Linked DNA regions of Arabidopsis thaliana. The protein of the gene in region 1 interacts with the protein of each later gene in a pairwise test. Each region holds a gene or a part of one and is shown in the gene's direction. Other genes may lie near its edges.

Region 1 (4,007 bases):
TGTAGTCTTTACATTTCTATTGTTTAACATGAAATCTCAAAAAATGCCAAATCAATTCTCAATTTTAAATTTAGTAGCTCTTGACAGTTTTCCCTTTGTTAATTACATATATAGAGAGTAACTAAATCATCTTTTGAAAGGTAAAAACTAAAAAAATATATTCCAAGGGCCCAATGTTTTACCACTTTCATATGTAAGCTTATTTTCTGTTAAATATGTGAAAGAAAGAAGAGGAATGAATCAGCTGTGAAAACCAAGAGCAAGTATAAAAACATGGCTAAAAGGGTATCAATCAGCCTTGTATAAGAGAGCCATAAGTAGATAAAGTTTCTACAGTAAAAACAGGAATATAGAGTACTATTCCTTAATTAGCTTATGTTCTTCTATTCTTCTTGTGACCTCTATCTTGCATTTTTGTGACCACCCCACTTGCCTTCTTCTTTTTGGTTGCATACTCTAAATAATATCCAGACTTTGATGTCTTTATGCGCTCTGGGTTCTTCTTGTGACCCCTCTTCCTTGTAATTGTATGTACCTGCAGCTTCTTCTGATTTTGTTTCTTATGGATATGTTTGTGATGTATAAAATTTTGTGAAGATGTTTATAAAACAGTTAAAAACCAAATTAACCAATCATCCTTATTTTCTCACGAGCCACTCTATGAACCTTACGTTATCTCGATGTACCTGTAATGAGTTAGCAATTACTACAATCCAAGTCAATAAAATAACAAGTTGGACGTTACGTTATAAAAGAAAATCAAACTTATTTGTGTGTTCCTAACAAACGCATGGGATAATAACAAGAGAATAAAAGACAGAGTGATAGGATCAACGGCTATTGTGCGTAGGAGAACACAGCTGCTATATAAGCCGCGTAACAGGTGATTACTCTGACTACGACACCAACAAGAAAAATTCTCTCAAATGTGGGCAGTTAAGTTAGACACGTGTAAGGTCGCGATTCATGGAGGAGACGTGCTCTTCCCGCTTTTTGTAATTATTTATTACTGTTGTCATAAATAAAACACTAAAAAAAAATTAATAAAAGGGAAAATACAAAACGTGATTTATGGATCAAATTTGCATTGGTGGTGGAGTTTTGGTTATGTAAGACCCACACCGTGTTCCCTCTATCTAACGCCGTTAATCCTCTTTTTTCCCCCAAATCATACCGTTAATTCTCTTTGAGTGCTAAAATATCACGCCGGTCTATGAGATTAAAATAGTAGACTAATTAATAGTGCTAAAAATACATAAATTAATGCCAAGAGATTCATCTTAAAAAAAAGGATATATGAACCAACTAAATGGTATAACTGAAAGACTATCATAATCAAATTTCATCTGAACATTGATTTGTTTGAACTAATTAATTTTAGGATTTTACGTTTTCATAATTTTTTATTTTATTTGAACATCTTGTAAGGGTAAAATGGTAAAAACAGGAGTAGTAAGAGGGTGAAATGGTTATTTCAAGTGTGAAGCGTGGGGACGTGGGTGACGGTGGTGATCTGAAACAGTGGTCTGCCGTTAAAACATTAAATTAAAACACGTGTTTTAAATGTCTCTATGTTAATTAATACTATAAGAGTATATTTTACTAATTTCCGTATCTGCAACCAGCGAAAAAAAAGTAATAAAGAGGTCCTCCATTTCTTCCTCGTGACAAAACGCACTTGGCAGAGAAAGATAAACAAGAACCCTAAGTTTTTTTATAAGATTCGAGAAAATTCAACAACTCAGGAAGGAAGATCCTTTTGCTCCAATTTCTCAATCGAAACGATTTCAATTTCGGTTTCAACGATGTCGAGTTTTTCTGCCGAGTGTTGGGACTTCTCTGGTCGTAAACCGAGCTTTTCACAAACATGTACTCGATTGAGTCGTTACCTGAAGGAGAAGGGTAGTTTTGGAGATCTGAGCTTAGGGATGACATGCAAGCCCGACGTTAATGGTAATCAACCTTTCTCTTTTAGATCTGTTCATTTCGTTTCTGCGAATTTTGAGTTTCCTGTTGCGAATTACGAATTATGAATCGATTACATGTTGTCTGGAAATTGAATCGTTGTAGAGAATCGATGATTAATGGATTTTGAATCAATTTCTATATATGTATGTATGTGTATGAATTTGTGGAGATGGTTCTGTGTTTGGTTTAAGCATAATCCTCTAAAGCCATAGGCCTGGTTTAGTCATTAAGTAGATTTTGTTTTGCAGTTGTTTGAGAGATTGGTGAATGATAATAATCTTTACTTTTGGATCAATTTTCGCAGGAGGTTCACGTCAGCCTACAATGATGAATCTGTTCCCTTGTGAAGCTTCAGGAATGGATTCTTCTGCTGGTCAAGAAGACATTAAACCGAAGACTATGTTTCCGAGACAATCAAGCTTTTCTTCTTCCTCTTCCTCTGGGACCAAAGAAGATGTACAGATGATCAAAGAGACTACTAAGTATGTGTTTATATGTATATAGTGAAAAGAATCGTCTCATATAGTAAGCTATGTTTCATCAGTTTAACTAATTTTTGTGTGATTTTGAACAGATCTGTGAAGCCAGAGTCTCAATCTGCTCCGTTGACTATATTCTACGGTGGTCGAGTTATGGTGTTTGATGATTTTTCTGCTGAGAAAGCTAAAGAAGTCATTGATTTGGCTAACAAAGGAAGTGCCAAAAGCTTCACATGTTTCACAGCTGAAGTAAACAATAACCATAGTGCTTATTCTCAAAAAGAGATTGCTTCTAGCCCAAATCCTGTTTGTAGTCCTGCAAAAACCGCAGCACAAGAGCCAATTCAGCCTAACCCGGCCTCTTTAGCCTGCGGTAATTGATCTCAGCCTCTTTTGGTTCAACCATCTCTGAGCTTGGCTTAGTCCTATTTCTCTAACTTTCTCTCTTTTTGATTTGTAGAACTCCCGATTGCAAGAAGAGCTTCACTTCATCGGTTCCTTGAGAAGAGGAAGGATAGGTAATGCATTTTAATGAAAACATAATATCTTGTTATTCCATAAGTTCTTGTTAAGCGAATTTCTCAATATCCTACTCGTAAACCTTTAACAGGATCACATCAAAGGCACCATACCAAATAGACGGTTCAGCTGAAGCGTCTTCCAAGCCTACTAACCCAGCTTGGCTCAGTTCACGGTAAACTTCGAGCCTGTCCGACCCAGAAGGCACAACTTGAGAGACCTTCTTGTAAGATTCTTCTGATGCTCCATCGTTACAAATATCAAGCTGCTCCTCTGTTCATTTTTTCTATAGATTAATTTCACCCCTAGTAGTTTTGTTTGTTTAACTCCCCCGAAAACTCATTATATTTGTATGAAATCAATATCAATAGTGTTCAATGTTTGCTTCTGGGGTTTAAGTTTTAGCCAGTGTGTATAACCCTTTCCTCTGCCGATCTCAACATTAGCTTGCAACTTTTGTAAGAAACATCACTTGTGTTTTTGTGTTGATGGCCATTAATATAATCCAAGTTTATTTAATCCGATTGTTTGTTCGTCACTTATTGAGAGCTGAAGCTTACAGTTAAGGAACAGAAATACTTAAAGCATTCTCGAAAATAAAGAAATGTCTAAAAAATGATGATTTTCTATCAAGTATTGTCGTGTGAAAGATTTTCTTTAACAAGTCTGCTATTGTTCAAAATACGTTTTAACCTATCTATCCATTATAGTATTAGCATTTTCGTTTTGTTGTTAAATACATGGCACAAACTATGTAGACTATTTTTGGTTAAAATACCAAGCCAGTTACAATTTTGTTTTTCCCAAAATACTAGTTATAACTTTGTAAAATATCCGAAGTCCATAATAAAAAGAGCTTCATAAATATCCAATAAGTGGAGTAGATCAGACCAGGCTTGGTAGGCCACGGGAATTCTGACCCACGATAACTTTTTTTCGTTCGGTCTTGAACAATGATTTGTTCGGTCTTGAACAATGATCATCCAACTAACAAAACGTAAATTTGGTCCAAAGACTGGTCCGAAATTCGTTATGATTAAT
Region 2 (4,390 bases), 8.3 Mb from region 1:
AATGAATTTATAACTTTTCACAGTGCTTTAATTTCTTTTATTACGGAAAAAAATAAGACAATGGAAATAAACGAAATAAAACTAGGAAATTGACAGAAAAAATTGTGTTTATTTCTTTATCGGAAAAACAAGTTGACAAAAATAAATGAAAGGAATAAATATTGGGGAAAATAACTTAAGAGAGAGAGATAAGAGGAAATGACTATGAGGGTGATGGGGAGTGTACTTACTGACACACATGCGATCGAAAAACACTAAAAGCCTATAGGGTATATTCGTAAATTTATTTAGACTACACTTGGTTGAGTAGGTGCAATGGGAAACATTTATTTGAAATTTGATTCCATCTTTGCCTTACATATCGATACGTCATCTTTTTATGTGTGCATTGTCATTATTTGATGATCAAGAATATGGTACCAAATACATTATATATCAGAAAAGTTCGTATGACTACGGGTATTTAATTAAAAATACAGTACATGCATGGTCGGTGTGTATAATGGAGAAGTAGTTAGAAAGAGAATTTGTGGTAATGACAAAAAAATGGAAAACAATAATTGATTGTGTCCTAAACCAGTGAACCGTGCGATATTTCGTGCCTTTAAATTTGATGTTGCATGTCGTAGAACGATGTTTTGATAATTTCTTCTCTTGGGAAGGTAAAAGAAAAAATTATGGATTCAATGCAGATTGGCTCGATGAGTAGGAAACGCACTTACAAAAAACATAAATCTCCTATCTACAATCACATATTTCTTCTTATATCTCTCTTGAAATCTCTACATGAATCACACCTAAAATGTTCATATTTAATCACATACCATACTTGTATTAGTATGTCAAATGCTCGGGATTTCCTTGTTAACAAAAAAGAAAAAAAAAACTGATTGAGTTACCAAATTACGTATATATACACATTTTTATCTTTGTTTAAAGGAAATTCAAGTTAATTTTAAACTAAAACTATGTACAAGTATGTATCTCTATTATTTTCGTTTTCCATCTGAAACTTTACTACGTTTGGTTAATTAAAAGTGGGATTGACGAACAGTGGAGTTCGAGAACAGATAGTGGAAAGGAGCATAGACAATGGTTGATTATAGGGATACTGTCGAATCCTACGGATACTGGTGATGCATTTTACAGGGTGTAACCTCTAAAACCAATACAATTTGATTCGATGAAAATAATACTTTATTTGTTTAAAATAATACCATCAATATTAGTTTATACCGCCCAATTATTAGTGTCTCCAACTCTCCAACAGATCTAAAAGCTTTACTTTTTAGTTTTTATTATAAAAGAAATCTTCTTGTATTGTCTTTTTTTCCAACAACCCAAAACCTTTACTACCTCAAAAGTTCTGTATTAATATTTTCTAACACAGTACAGAACAATCTTTGACTTGGTAAAATTTGGGTTTATTAGTGCTTATAGTTTCTATCATCTTTAACAAAAAAAAATAGTGGTAGTCAGAACCAAACCTAAGAGGACTATGTATATGTGTTGATATTCTTACAGTAACCTCTACCAAAATATATCCATTGTAATGTATATAGCTAATACAATTCGAAATGTCATGTAAAATATTTCCACATGATGAATCGGACAAAAGCTTTTTGTTTTTCATTTAGAAAAACCATAAAATATATAATATAAAATAAGAAAACACTTTAAAAATGAAATAAAAGCACAAGTGATGATGATGAGTATCAGAGAGCTCTTTTTATGACCAAACACACTCCTTCCATTACCATTTCCCTCTCTTCCCCAAACCCCAAAATCTCTTCCTTTTTTTACCGTTACTGTAAATTTTCCGGCCAGAAACAAAAAATTAAAAAGAGCTTTCCTGGATTCTCGTTTAGTCAATTCCACATCTCTCTATCTCTTCTCTCTCTTCTTGCTTCCTCTGTTTTTGCTTCTTGAATTCTCAGAAACAGAGACAAATTCTAAAAAAGAAACAATCTTTAGACAAAAGAAGAGAAATTTAGTCATGGGTTAGTCTGCAAAATTCAATTACGTCTTCTTCTTCTTCTTCTTCTTCATCTTTGATTTGTTGGCGTGTTTAGGGTTTGGGATTTGGAGGAGAGGCAAAATGTTGAATTAAATAAATCGAACGACTCTGGATTCCTCGGCGGTTAACGACCGCCGTCGCCGCCGCCGTCATAATCCAACCACCACCACCATCAACGACCTTGAATTTCCACAATATGCTTCATCAATGGCACCAGATAACGACCATTTCTTAGATTCTCCGTCGCCGCCTCTTCTAGAGATGAGACACCACCAATCAGCGACGGAGAACGGTGGTGGTTGCGGCGAGATTGTGGAGGTACAAGGAGGTCACATTGTTCGGTCAACAGGAAGAAAAGACAGACATAGTAAAGTATGTACAGCGAAAGGACCACGTGACCGGCGCGTGAGACTCTCAGCTCCGACGGCGATTCAATTCTACGATGTTCAAGATAGACTTGGTTTTGATCGACCAAGTAAAGCTGTTGATTGGCTTATTACTAAAGCTAAATCCGCCATTGATGATCTTGCTCAGCTTCCTCCTTGGAACCCCGCCGATACTCTTCGTCAACACGCCGCCGCTGCTGCTAACGCTAAACCCAGAAAAACCAAAACTTTAATTTCTCCGCCACCGCCACAACCGGAAGAAACAGAGCATCATCGAATCGGAGAAGAAGAAGATAACGAATCGAGTTTTCTTCCGGCGTCAATGGATTCTGATTCGATAGCTGACACTATAAAGTCGTTTTTTCCGGTAGCTTCAACGCAACAGAGCTATCATCATCAGCCACCGTCACGAGGCAATACACAGAACCAAGATCTTCTTCGTCTCTCGCTTCAATCTTTCCAAAATGGTCCACCTTTTCCTAATCAAACAGAACCTGCTCTGTTCTCCGGCCAGAGCAATAATCAGTTAGCGTTTGACTCATCGACGGCAAGCTGGGAACAGAGTCATCAGTCACCGGAATTTGGAAAGATACAGAGACTAGTGTCATGGAACAACGTCGGAGCAGCTGAATCCGCCGGAAGTACCGGAGGATTTGTGTTTGCTTCTCCGTCGTCGTTGCATCCAGTTTATAGCCAAAGTCAGCTTTTATCACAGAGGGGTCCCCTTCAGTCCATTAACACACCTATGATTCGTGCTTGGTTTGATCCTCACCATCATCATCATCATCATCAGCAGTCCATGACCACTGACGATCTCCACCATCATCATCCCTACCATATCCCTCCCGGGATTCACCAATCTGCTATTCCAGGCATTGCATTTGCTTCAAGTGGTGAATTCTCCGGTTTTCGTATACCAGCACGGTTTCAAGGCGAACAAGAGGAGCACGGCGGCGACAACAAGCCGTCCTCTGCTTCATCCGATTCTCGCCATTAAACAAGTTCCAAAAACACATAAGATTGTGCAACACAACAGGTTTCTTTTCATATTCCAGGTTTGAAGTTTTTCGAAAACAACACCCATTTGTGAAAGTCTTGTCTTTTAACCATTCATCAAATTGATAACTTACATTGTTTTTAACGTTTCAGGGCGCTTCGAATGCGTGGAATAGTGAAGGCGGTTTTCGTTGTTGTGTGTTTCGAATATCCAAATGGCCTATAAATCTGATCAACAGTTTCAGGTTCTTCTTAAGTCTTTAAAAGCCTAGGCCTTGGTTAATTTGAATTCATCTTGTATCAATTAGAGAACGTTCTGTAAGTTCAATTCTGTTTTACAATGTTTAGCTCTAGCTACATGAGCTCACATCTTGTTTGTTGTAACTTGTTCTACAATTACTTGTCCTTTATTTATGTTCTTGTGTTGGAAACCTTTAACCCCACTTGAAGCTAAAGTCTTTTGTTTGCCCTTTATTCCATGTGGGTTTAATGCTTTCCCCAAGAAATATCTCATTTTGTTTGCCAATCCCAAAGAGGAACAGTGCTCTATCCATCTACATCAATCATCATATTGTTTGGTTTAGCGTTTATTAGAAGTATTATCTTCCCAATCTCTGTGGTTATAAACTTTCTTTTGACTAGCAAATGGAATTTGAAACAATCATTTCTCTTGTGTTTCTTAGTCTCTTCTTTTGGCCCCATAGATGAAGAGTCACTTTCCATAGACAGGGTTTGCATGTGTTGCTTCTTTTGGAGTTTAGAGTTTAGAATTATGGGTTTCTTTTAAAATTTGTTTAGTGGATGCAAGCTCTGATACTTAGTAAGAGTTTTGGCCCATGATCCACGGATCCCTATATAAATATCAGAGAAATGGTTTTTGACTTCTTTTCATAGAATCTTCCTCAATACTAGATTTCAAGATTTTATGAAAAAGGAGCAAAAGAGAATTTGATGTCTAGTGTCAAATAACTGTCTACTTTAAACAAGAGTG
Region 3 (6,349 bases), on another chromosome or scaffold:
CTCTACATTCCAAGACTTGGAAATTATAACTAAGGAACAACATAGTTTTAAGGGATAAATTTGTAAGAACTCTGGAAATTTATAAGAACAAAAATACATTGCCTTACCGTTTTCCAGACAAGATGGATTCGTAAGCTTCAAGTGCATTAAATTTTGCGAGGTTTCGTTCGACAATATGCAACAGATCCCTCTTTACTTCCACCAATTGTTGCACAGTGTCAAATGATACTTTGAGATATTTTTTTTGCAGGCCAGATAGATGATTTTTCTGCTCATGAACATAAGAAATCAAGAAACTCAAATTGGTATGGTAGGTCAAAGAAAAGGTCAGCAAAAGTGACAACCAAACAAGAGGTACTGAAAACGTTCATATCTTGCATAATGTTGCCACTAAAGAAGAAGCATTAAACACTTAAACATTTACTAGCAAACGTTTTTTGAGTTACAAGAACGTTTTTGGCAGGCTAGATAGATGATTTGAGCACATGGAAGCAAGATCAGTTTTGGACTTATTACTAGAGCTGCTCAATTTGAAGTTGCAAGAAGAGGAAAATAACTAAAAGTTGTAGCAAATGTAATTGACATGAGTCCTCTATATAGAGAGAAAGAAACGAGTAATCAACAGGTAGTTGCAAACTGCGTAAAAGGAGTTATGCTTTAGTGACTTACAAGATAAAGATCTTCTTTGTGAACAATCTGAATATCAGCAACTTGTCTTTCATATCGGCGTCTCAAGTAGGCTTCAACTTCCAGTTCCATATTGTCCTGTAAAAAGGGCATTGCAGTTTAGTTGACATATAGGAAGAAAACACTCGAGTACAGAGAGAACATATATACTTTGGTGGCGGCATACAAGTAAGGGCGGAACTTGTACTTAGTCTTAAAAGAAGAGCCGTCCTGAAAGAAACAAAAAGGGTTGAGCAACTGATACGAAGAAAGAAGCTAATATAGTAGCAATGACCACAGCTGACCTGAGTGACAAAGAAAAGGTCCACACAACTAAAGGTTTTCCCAGTATCGGCATCTTCCCAAGATGACTGCCAACAACGTAGTATAATAACCAATCAGTGAGTGTACTTAGAAGTTTTCAGTATTCAGAGAACTAACTACTAGGGAAGTCACAAAACGTGACTTACTGATGCAAACGTGAGTAGCCACCCGAGCCGCGTTTCCCCTTGGGAGAAAAGCCCAAATCCAAGTTTAGTTTCGAGTTCATCTGCCGCTGAAACTTTCTGCACATTCAACCTCCGATCACATCTCCTTCCGCTCATATTTGGCCCACGCCGATGATGCTAAGAGACTCTTGTATTGATTGCTTGTGTTGCGTATTAAATAAATTAGGGTTCAAAACAAAGGGATTCGTGATTGACACTGGTACGGTGAAGAGATGGAACCAGATCAAATAAGAGAAGAGAGAATCATCTAGAACCTGAGATTCTTATGACGACAATACAAGGAAATGAAGTTGTCATCCGAAAATGAATTAGGGCTCAACTAAAAAAGACAGATGAAGAAGATGAAATGCTTTCGCGCGCGTTGTCTCTTGTATCAAGGGCTTTCCTGGTTGTTGGGTTCGGTTCAAATGAGGCCTCACTTTTTATGAGGGCTTTCTGTTGTTGGGTTTAGATTAAAACGAGGTCTCGCTATTTAAATTGAAAAAAAAAAACCAACAAAAGCACGAAACGACGTCGGTTTCGTGCTTGAATCTCTTCTTCCTCGCGAACGACTGAGAAGAAGCAGGAGTTTAATTTCCTCCGGTCGAATCTGAAAACGAAATAGCTGCCATAGCTTCTTCTCAATTTTCCCCAATTGTTGTTGCCCTTCTCCCTAATTTCACGACTTTCGATTCTTCTGAGTTCTGAGTTCTTCGCATCACTGACTGACGTAAGCTCCTCTTTCTCTCTTTTGCTTTCTCCTCTTTCTGGGTTTCTCTCTCTCTCAACAAACAATCGGAGAGTGAGAGATGCAAAAAGTCCTCATATTTATATGTTCGGAAGAAGATCTCCAAACACTAATAGTACTTTTTTGTAGACTATGAAGATGAGAAACATTTGTGTGAAATTAGAACTTCTCTACTAAGTGAAGGTTATGGATGTTCATTTGGTGGAAGAGAATGTGTCAATGGGGAATCATGAGATAGGAGATGAAGGAGATGTTGAACCTAGTGATTGCAGTGGACAGAACAACATGGATAACTCGTTAGGGGTGCAAGATGAGATTGGAATTGCAGAGCCATGTGTTGGTATGGAGTTTAATTCAGAAAAAGAAGCTAAATCTTTCTATGATGAGTACTCGAGGCAGCTTGGTTTTACTTCTAAGCTTCTTCCTAGAACTGATGGGTCTGTTAGTGTTCGAGAATTTGTGTGTAGTAGTAGTAGTAAAAGGTCAAAGAGAAGGCTTTCTGAGAGTTGTGATGCAATGGTTAGGATAGAGTTGCAAGGTCATGAGAAATGGGTTGTTACAAAGTTTGTTAAAGAGCATACTCATGGATTAGCAAGTTCTAATATGCTTCATTGTCTTCGTCCTCGTAGGCATTTTGCTAACTCGGAGAAATCTAGTTATCAAGAAGGGGTTAATGTGCCTAGTGGTATGATGTATGTTTCTATGGATGCTAATAGCAGAGGAGCTAGAAATGCGTCTATGGCTACAAACACGAAGAGAACGATTGGACGGGATGCACATAATCTGTTGGAGTATTTTAAGAGGATGCAGGCAGAGAATCCTGGCTTTTTCTATGCGGTTCAGCTTGATGAAGATAATCAGATGTCAAATGTGTTTTGGGCTGATTCGAGATCTAGGGTTGCTTATACTCATTTTGGTGACACGGTTACCTTAGATACGAGGTACAGGTGCAATCAGTTTCGTGTTCCTTTTGCGCCATTTACTGGTGTGAATCATCATGGTCAGGCTATCTTATTTGGCTGTGCACTTATTTTGGACGAGTCAGACACTTCATTTATCTGGCTGTTCAAGACTTTTCTAACAGCAATGAGAGATCAACCGCCGGTTTCTTTGGTGACTGATCAAGATAGAGCCATACAGATTGCTGCTGGTCAGGTATTTCCAGGTGCTCGTCACTGTATTAATAAGTGGGATGTGCTAAGAGAAGGTCAGGAAAAGCTGGCTCATGTGTGTCTTGCGTATCCTAGTTTTCAGGTGGAGCTATATAATTGTATCAACTTTACTGAAACGATTGAGGAGTTTGAATCGTCCTGGAGTTCTGTCATTGACAAATATGACTTAGGAAGACATGAATGGCTTAATTCTTTATATAATGCTCGAGCTCAGTGGGTACCTGTTTATTTCCGGGATTCGTTTTTTGCTGCAGTGTTTCCTAGCCAAGGTTATTCGGGTTCCTTTTTCGATGGATATGTGAATCAGCAGACAACCCTTCCGATGTTCTTTAGGCTGTACGAAAGGGCTATGGAGAGCTGGTTCGAGATGGAGATTGAAGCAGATCTTGACACTGTCAACACACCTCCAGTCTTGAAGACGCCATCACCCATGGAGAATCAGGCTGCAAATCTCTTTACAAGGAAAATATTTGGAAAGTTCCAGGAAGAGTTGGTAGAGACATTCGCTCACACGGCAAACAGAATTGAAGATGATGGTACTACCAGCACATTTAGGGTTGCAAATTTTGAAAATGACAACAAAGCTTATATAGTAACGTTTTGCTACCCTGAAATGAGAGCAAACTGCAGCTGTCAAATGTTTGAGCACTCCGGCATACTCTGCCGACATGTTTTGACGGTGTTTACTGTCACTAATATACTCACTTTGCCACCACATTATATTTTGAGACGGTGGACAAGAAATGCCAAGAGCATGGTAGAGTTAGATGAGCATGTCAGTGAAAATGGGCATGATAGCTCGATACACCGCTATAATCATTTATGTCGCGAAGCCATCAAGTATGCTGAGGAAGGGGCAATTACAGCTGAAGCTTATAATATTGCTTTAGGGCAACTCAGAGAAGGTGGAAAGAAGGTTTCAGTTGTCAGGAAAAGGATAGGTAGAGCTGCGCCTCCTAGCTCACATGGTGGTGGAATTGGTAGTGGTGACAAGACCTCTCTATCAGCTGCTGACACAACCCCTTTGCTGTGGCCGCGCCAGGATGAAATGATACGCAGATTTAACCTTAACGATGGTGGGGCCAGAGCTCAATCTGTTTCTGATCTGAATCTGCCGCGTATGGCACCAGTGTCACTTCACCGAGATGATACTGCTCCTGAGAATATGGTACCCAGAGGAAACCTTTCACAGACTTATTTCTTTGATTCTATTGGTGTTGGTCAGTAACTTGATTTACTTTGTCTTACAGGTGGCTCTTCCTTGTCTTAAGTCATTGACTTGGGGGATGGAGAGTAAAAATACAATGCCGGGTGGTAGAGTTGCAGTTATCAATTTAAAGGTGTGCATTATATGAACCAGTAAATCTTTTCTGTAGGGTTTTGCAGTAACTTTTACTGAAAGTTGGTCTGATGGGATGCTTTATCTAAAAGAGATTAGATTTGTAAGAATAATGATCTTGAAGATTTGAACAATTGACATTCGCCTTTTCGGAAAAGTTACTGGCTATAGTGTAGGAAAATCAAAGTTGTTGCCATTAATAGTCTTGCTCGTTCCTGCAAAATAGTAGTTGACCGCTTTACTGAGGATTATTTTTCATGATGTTTTCAGTTGCACGATTACAGAAAGTTTCCCTCAGCAGACATGGATGTCAAATTTCAGCTGTCTAGCGTCACACTTGAACCCATGTTAAGGTCCATGGCTTACATTAGCGAGCAACTTTCATCTCCAGCCAATAGAGTAGCTGTCATCAATTTGAAGGTATGTCTTTTAGACTCTAGGCTCGTAGCTTCTCATGTAGTCTTCTTGACTTGACTAAACTCCTTTTAATTTATTGATTGTCTTTGGTTTGTTCTAACATAGATTCCATCTACCGTTAGTGTGTGAAACTTCTGTGTTGTTTGACTTGTTTAAGCTGATTCTCTCATTCATGTTAACTTGCCATACGTTTTGCAGTTATTTATACTAGCGTCACTACTTGAATATGAAATTTCATGTTTGATTACCAAAATCAATGTTTTACTCCATATTAGGGACTCTTAATTGAACTAGAAGGTTTCAACAGTGTGAAAAAATCTTCTTTTGTTTTCCTTACTCCAGCTTCAAGATACCGAGACAACAACAGGAGAATCAGAGGTCAAGTTTCAGGTGTCCCGAGATACACTAGGTGCCATGTTGAGATCAATGGCCTATATCCGTGAGCAGCTCTCAATCGTTGTAGGCACACTCCCTTTTTCTTTTTCTTTTTCCAAGTAGTAGTTATTAAATAATTACAAGGCCAATGATAGTTGAATTAGTAATAGTAACAGCAATCAATTAGGTTCATATCGACCTATAATTGTTCCTGAACTATTACTTGGTCTATGTATTGTCTTATAGAGTATCTAAACGGTATCTTGCATTTGCAGGGAGAGCTACAAACAGAATCTCAAGCAAAGAAGCAACGCAAATGATGTTGAGAGAGAGAAACAACCTCTGGAAAAGAAAACTTTGGAAAATGGTTGTTAACCTCATTAGAGCTCGTCTGTGATTAGTGTTGTTAGATTTACGATACAATGCCTTATGTGTAATTGTAACATGTGTAAGTGTCACGTCATCTACGCAAGTGTGTAGAATCTGGTAGGCATTGAGCCAGGCTTTGAAGTGTATATATCCTTCTTATTTACATTGAACCCTAAAAACCTGGATTCTTGTGGATAGTCATTCGTTTGACTGCAGATTATATTTAATGGCCATGGAGATTTAAGACTGCCATGGAGACTTAAGTATTGATAACAAACAATGTGGATAAAACGCATTATTCAATACAAGAAATTCTCATGCTATTTATGTAATCATCGTCGAACAGAATTAGTAAGAAAGCACATGAAAAATTTTGAAAAACAATAAGGAAATGTATGGAGTGCGTATTTTACGCTTTAGTGAGTGAAAATTGGGAGGAACAAGACATAATACATCAAAAGGGTAAGAAAATGCCACAATCTGCTAGCTTTGCCTTCTAATACTGATGCCCTTTAACCCAACCCGAACCAGTAAACTCGGGATCTCTCTAGCCCTGTCTTGTCTACAAGCTCCTGTAATCAATAACGGTCACTTCTTCCTCTGGAGCATCTAGGTCTTGGTAGCTGCACCAAATTTCTCATACATTAGTACCTTAGAGACACTGCACTCTTGATCATAGGGTAATGGACTCATAGCACAGAGTGAACTACGTTACCTGCGCAGCCGTCTAGGATCTTGTCTAAAGGCCGGAGACAACAGAAAAGGGGCAGGTCCA
Region 4 (4,177 bases), 1.9 Mb from region 1:
ATTCGTTTTCTTTTCTGTTTAGTCTTTGATATATAGTTTTCTTGATATTTTGATTGGTTTACTAATTACTACAAGCAGGCCGATACTTTTAGTTATTTATATTTTACGAGGGAAAATTATGGTCAATGAACATATTCTAGTTAAAACATAAAAAGATATCACATATATAAGTAATTAAAATATAAAATTTTGTCATTTGTAAATATGTTTGGGCGAAAATGTTTGGACATCCCATAGGTTTTATGTGGCTATGCGTAAAGTTTCTAATAGTTAGACTAATCAACGTTCCTAAGAGATCATCAGAACTAGTTACACCTTACACGTAACGTTAATGATTCGTCTAAACTAAGAGACGATAATTAGCCACAATAGAAAATACTATATTTTGATTTTTGAGAAGTTTTATCTTCATAAAGCTTAGACATTTGAAAAAGAATAGTAAGATTATAACAAATATATTTTACAATTTTCAATATATACTAAGAAAGATGAATTTGCCTAAACTCAAAATTAATATGTGTAAGAATTTTTATAATTGGTTTTCTCCATTTCTTTTAACAAAATCATATGTATATTCAAATATACTACCTGGCAATTATTATATGCATGCTTATGTTGGTTTATGTAATAACTTGGATTTATTTTGTTACACTCAATTTCTATAAAACACAAATTTGAGATTTTTAAAAAATATTTATTTAAAATATCTTCATAATAATTCGAATTTACTTTTATATTATTTTTTTCTTTTGTATTCTCTAATTCAATTATATTTTTAACGTTACCATATATATATATATATATATATATATATATATATTACGCTGGTCCTAATTAGTAGTATAATCTATGTAACACCGTATATTTTGATTCTTTGAACAGCTTATATGAATAATCATCACATAAGAAGGAGCCTTCTTCATCACTATTCACTACATATAAAAATTCGTTTCAGAAAAAAAAGATCAATGTTCTGTCCACATCAGAGTATCAAAATAATTTTCTAAATTTAGTGCTACATCTTTTAACGACAATTGTATGTCAATGAGATAACTCCAATGGTGGAAACAAAAGAGAAGCATTACAAATTTGCTTTTATATATCTATAAAGCACTGTAACTATGGTTTTATAAATAATAATATCAAACTGGTAACTCATTCAAGAGTCACAGAGGAGAAAAAACAATCCATCTGTTTCATAAAAAAAGCAGTTGGATTCTATTATATCATGTGGATCTCGTGAACTACCATAGAGCCATGGATTAATCACTGTCATTCTGTCAATAATAATTCTATCTATTTATTATTCTGTTGTCACATATGTACAAAATATATGTAAACTTCTCAGTTCTGTCTGAATCGCTGAAATTTTCGCTAAATGTGCAATTAATTTCCCGATCGCTTGAAGTTAACAGTTACGACGAGAAACTGACGTCACTTTTTAATTATTGTAAAGAATGAAAAAGAGTGTTCGTATAGGGTAATTGTATTATTGTAAAAAACTATGTATCCAAACACAATAAATACACGAACAACATTTATTTTCACTCACTTTGATCACTGTACGTAATAAGGAAAAACATTTTATTTGAATGAATATTTGTACAGATTGGAGAACCACGTAAGCCCATCTCTTTTATTTCCAAAAATAACGAAAAATTCTCAAAGGGAATAGTTTATAATGTAAATAAAATTCCAAAAATAAAACACAAAAGATATAAAGCAGCAAGAGAAAAAAAAAGTCCATGCTTTCATATTCATTGCTTTAATCTCTCTCTCTCTCTCAGACATAGACACAGCTAAGCTTCCCATCTGAAAGGAGTTTCATGTCCTAAGGACCATATTATAACCTCTCTATCTCTCTCTAAGTATCAGCAAAAAAACAGAGATTTATAGAGAGAGAAAAAAACTATGGCTCACATAAAGATCTAACAGAGACAGTAGTATAGTCCCACTTCCCCACCACCAAAGCTTCGATCATCATCATCATCATCATCATGGATCCGGATCCGGATCATAACCATCGACCCAACTTCCCTCTCCAGCTTCTTGATTCTTCTACCTCCTCCTCTTCCACTTCCTTAGCCATCATCTCTACTACTTCCGAACCTAACTCCGAACCTAAGAAGCCTCCTCCTAAACGAACCTCTACTAAAGACCGACACACCAAAGTCGAAGGCCGAGGCCGTCGGATCCGTATGCCTGCCATGTGTGCTGCACGTGTCTTTCAGCTCACACGTGAGCTTGGTCACAAATCCGACGGTGAAACTATTGAGTGGCTACTCCAACAAGCAGAACCAGCGGTTATAGCCGCTACAGGGACTGGAACCATTCCGGCTAACTTCACTTCTTTAAACATCTCACTTCGTAGCTCAAGATCTTCTCTCTCTGCTGCTCATCTTCGTACAACTCCTAGTAGCTATTACTTTCATTCACCACATCAGTCCATGACTCATCATCTTCAACATCAGCATCAGGTTCGTCCCAAGAACGAGTCACATTCTTCGTCTTCTTCTTCTTCACAGCTTTTAGATCACAACCAAATGGGTAACTATCTAGTACAATCAACTGCTGGATCTTTACCTACGAGTCAGAGTCCTGCAACGGCACCGTTTTGGAGTAGTGGTGACAACACACAGAATCTTTGGGCTTTTAATATTAATCCTCATCATTCCGGTGTTGTCGCCGGAGATGTTTACAACCCCAACAGTGGTGGTAGTGGCGGCGGTAGTGGAGTTCATTTGATGAATTTTGCAGCTCCTATTGCTTTGTTTTCTGGACAGCCTTTGGCTTCTGGTTATGGAGGAGGAGGAGGTGGCGGTGGAGAACATAGCCATTATGGAGTTTTAGCGGCGTTGAATGCTGCTTACCGACCGGTGGCGGAGACGGGGAACCATAACAACAACCAGCAAAACCGTGACGGAGATCATCATCACAACCATCAAGAAGATGGAAGCACCAGTCATCATTCCTAGGCAAACATACACAAACAAATATATTCTGTGAGATTTATTTTTCTTTTTTTGTCCTTTCGTTTGTTTGTTTGTTCTTAACAAGCGTGTTTTTTTTGCATTGCTTCTTTTTCATATATTTTTATTTATTTCTAAATTCTAATATTCTACGGATTTCATCTTGTTTATTTTTCTGATTAATGTATTGAGTAAGTAATTAAGAACCTGATAATCGATATGTTTTAGTTTGTGGTTTTTGCATGCAAGGCTTTGGTTTTATTATTCTAGAGATTTTTGCTTGAAGTAGTTGTCTTGTGAAATGTTTTCCTCATTACTATTGAGTGTGAGAGTTTTCTAATACTTGATTAGGGTTTTTGAACAATTTTTATATATGTATATTAATTCAGTACGGATTATCAATAAATTATTTCGCATGCCAAATTATTATCTTCCACTTCGTTCATGGTTACATTGTCTCGAAGAAGCTACATCTTATGCATTGTGAGCAATTATTCAGGTTCTAGCTATCTCTTTTAATATGTTAATTTCTTTGCATGATTAACATCTTACTCCTGACTGGTCTATTGGTGACTATGCTAAGATAATGTAGATATATATAGTAACAAAATCATATAGGTCAAAGCATTAAGTGTGATTGTTTTGGTTAATTATAAGTGTGTTGACGAGGGGATGCATTGTAGATATGATGCCATATTAATGCCAGTAGGTTTATGCGCATGGTGGTTTGGATACGTTCAATTTATAGCCGTTGCAAAAATTGAAGGCATTTAATTTTGCTAATGATATTACCAAAATTATTTGATTATGAATCAAAAGATACAAGGAGAATTATCAAAAAAAAAATATATAGGTCCATTATCCGTATAAGGTAGCTAAGAACTTAATTAGTCTGGTGCTATGTTTGAAGACTCACGTACGATTTACAATCTCTGGATCTATGAAACTCATCACCAAGCAGGAACCTGTATTTATACGTCAATATTTGTGAATTTTCGGATACCCAAAAAATACCAAGAATATATATTTCATTTTCTGCTGAAAATCAGAGAAAAATGTGTTTTAAAAACAATGTCTATAAACAAATTTATAGATTGAAGTTAGAACTAAAAACTTTTGATGGTTATAGATTTCAGCTTGATCATTTATTTCTGAAGTGTTTTCGTTGGATGAAACATAGATTATATATGTCTATAATTAATTGAGAC

What was found.
Region 2: the proteins of TIFY10B (region 1) and TCP3 interact in binary tests that used the Arabidopsis thaliana proteins (3 or more experiments, as listed by UniProt).
Region 3: the proteins of TIFY10B (region 1) and FRS3 interact in binary tests that used the Arabidopsis thaliana proteins (3 or more experiments, as listed by UniProt).
Region 4: the proteins of TIFY10B (region 1) and TCP15 interact in binary tests that used the Arabidopsis thaliana proteins (3 or more experiments, as listed by UniProt).

The regions. Positions count from the first base shown.
Region 1 is NC_003070.9:28,148,057-28,152,063, reverse strand, and holds TIFY10B (TIFY domain/Divergent CCT motif family protein), read left to right. Parts: upstream 1-1,617; 5' UTR 1,618-1,805; coding exon 1,806-1,953; intron 1,954-2,272; coding exon 2,273-2,450; intron 2,451-2,542; coding exon 2,543-2,820; intron 2,821-2,907; coding exon 2,908-2,965; coding exon of another isoform or gene 2,966-2,969; exon of another isoform or gene 2,970-3,057; coding exon 3,058-3,145; 3' UTR 3,146-3,489; downstream 3,490-4,007. UniProt on the Arabidopsis thaliana protein: Repressor of jasmonate responses. Jasmonoyl-isoleucine (JA-Ile) specifically promotes COI1-TIFY10B/JAZ2 interaction. Activated by MYC2, MYC3 and MYC4 transcription factors.
Region 2 is NC_003070.9:19,849,270-19,853,659, reverse strand, and holds TCP3 (TEOSINTE BRANCHED 1, cycloidea and PCF transcription factor 3), read left to right. Parts: upstream 1-1,934; 5' UTR 1,935-2,224; coding exon 2,225-3,400; 3' UTR 3,401-3,458; exon of another isoform or gene 3,459-3,459; intron 3,460-3,552; 3' UTR 3,553-3,872; downstream 3,873-4,390. UniProt on the Arabidopsis thaliana protein: Plays a pivotal role in the control of morphogenesis of shoot organs by negatively regulating the expression of boundary-specific genes such as CUC genes, probably through the induction of miRNA (e.g. miR164). Participates in ovule development.
Region 3 is NC_003071.7:11,576,145-11,582,493, reverse strand, and holds FRS3 (FAR1-related sequence 3), read left to right. Parts: upstream 1-1,676; 5' UTR 1,677-2,088; coding exon 2,089-4,242; intron 4,243-4,324; coding exon 4,325-4,414; intron 4,415-4,683; coding exon 4,684-4,833; intron 4,834-5,172; coding exon 5,173-5,289; intron 5,290-5,480; coding exon 5,481-5,525; 3' UTR 5,526-5,826; downstream 5,827-6,349. Other genes in the region: TIL2 (DNA polymerase epsilon catalytic subunit), read right to left, coding at 1-2, 108-268, 670-765, 838-897, 972-1,037, 1,137-1,271; SE (C2H2 zinc-finger protein SERRATE (SE)), read right to left, coding at 6,137-6,197, 6,290-6,349.
Region 4 is NC_003070.9:26,214,452-26,218,628, forward strand, and holds TCP15 (TCP family transcription factor), read left to right. Parts: upstream 1-1,557; 5' UTR 1,558-1,997; coding exon 1,998-2,975; 3' UTR 2,976-3,620; downstream 3,621-4,177. UniProt on the Arabidopsis thaliana protein: Transcription factor involved the regulation of plant development. Together with TCP14, modulates plant stature by promoting cell division in young internodes. Represses cell proliferation in developing leaf blade and specific floral tissues.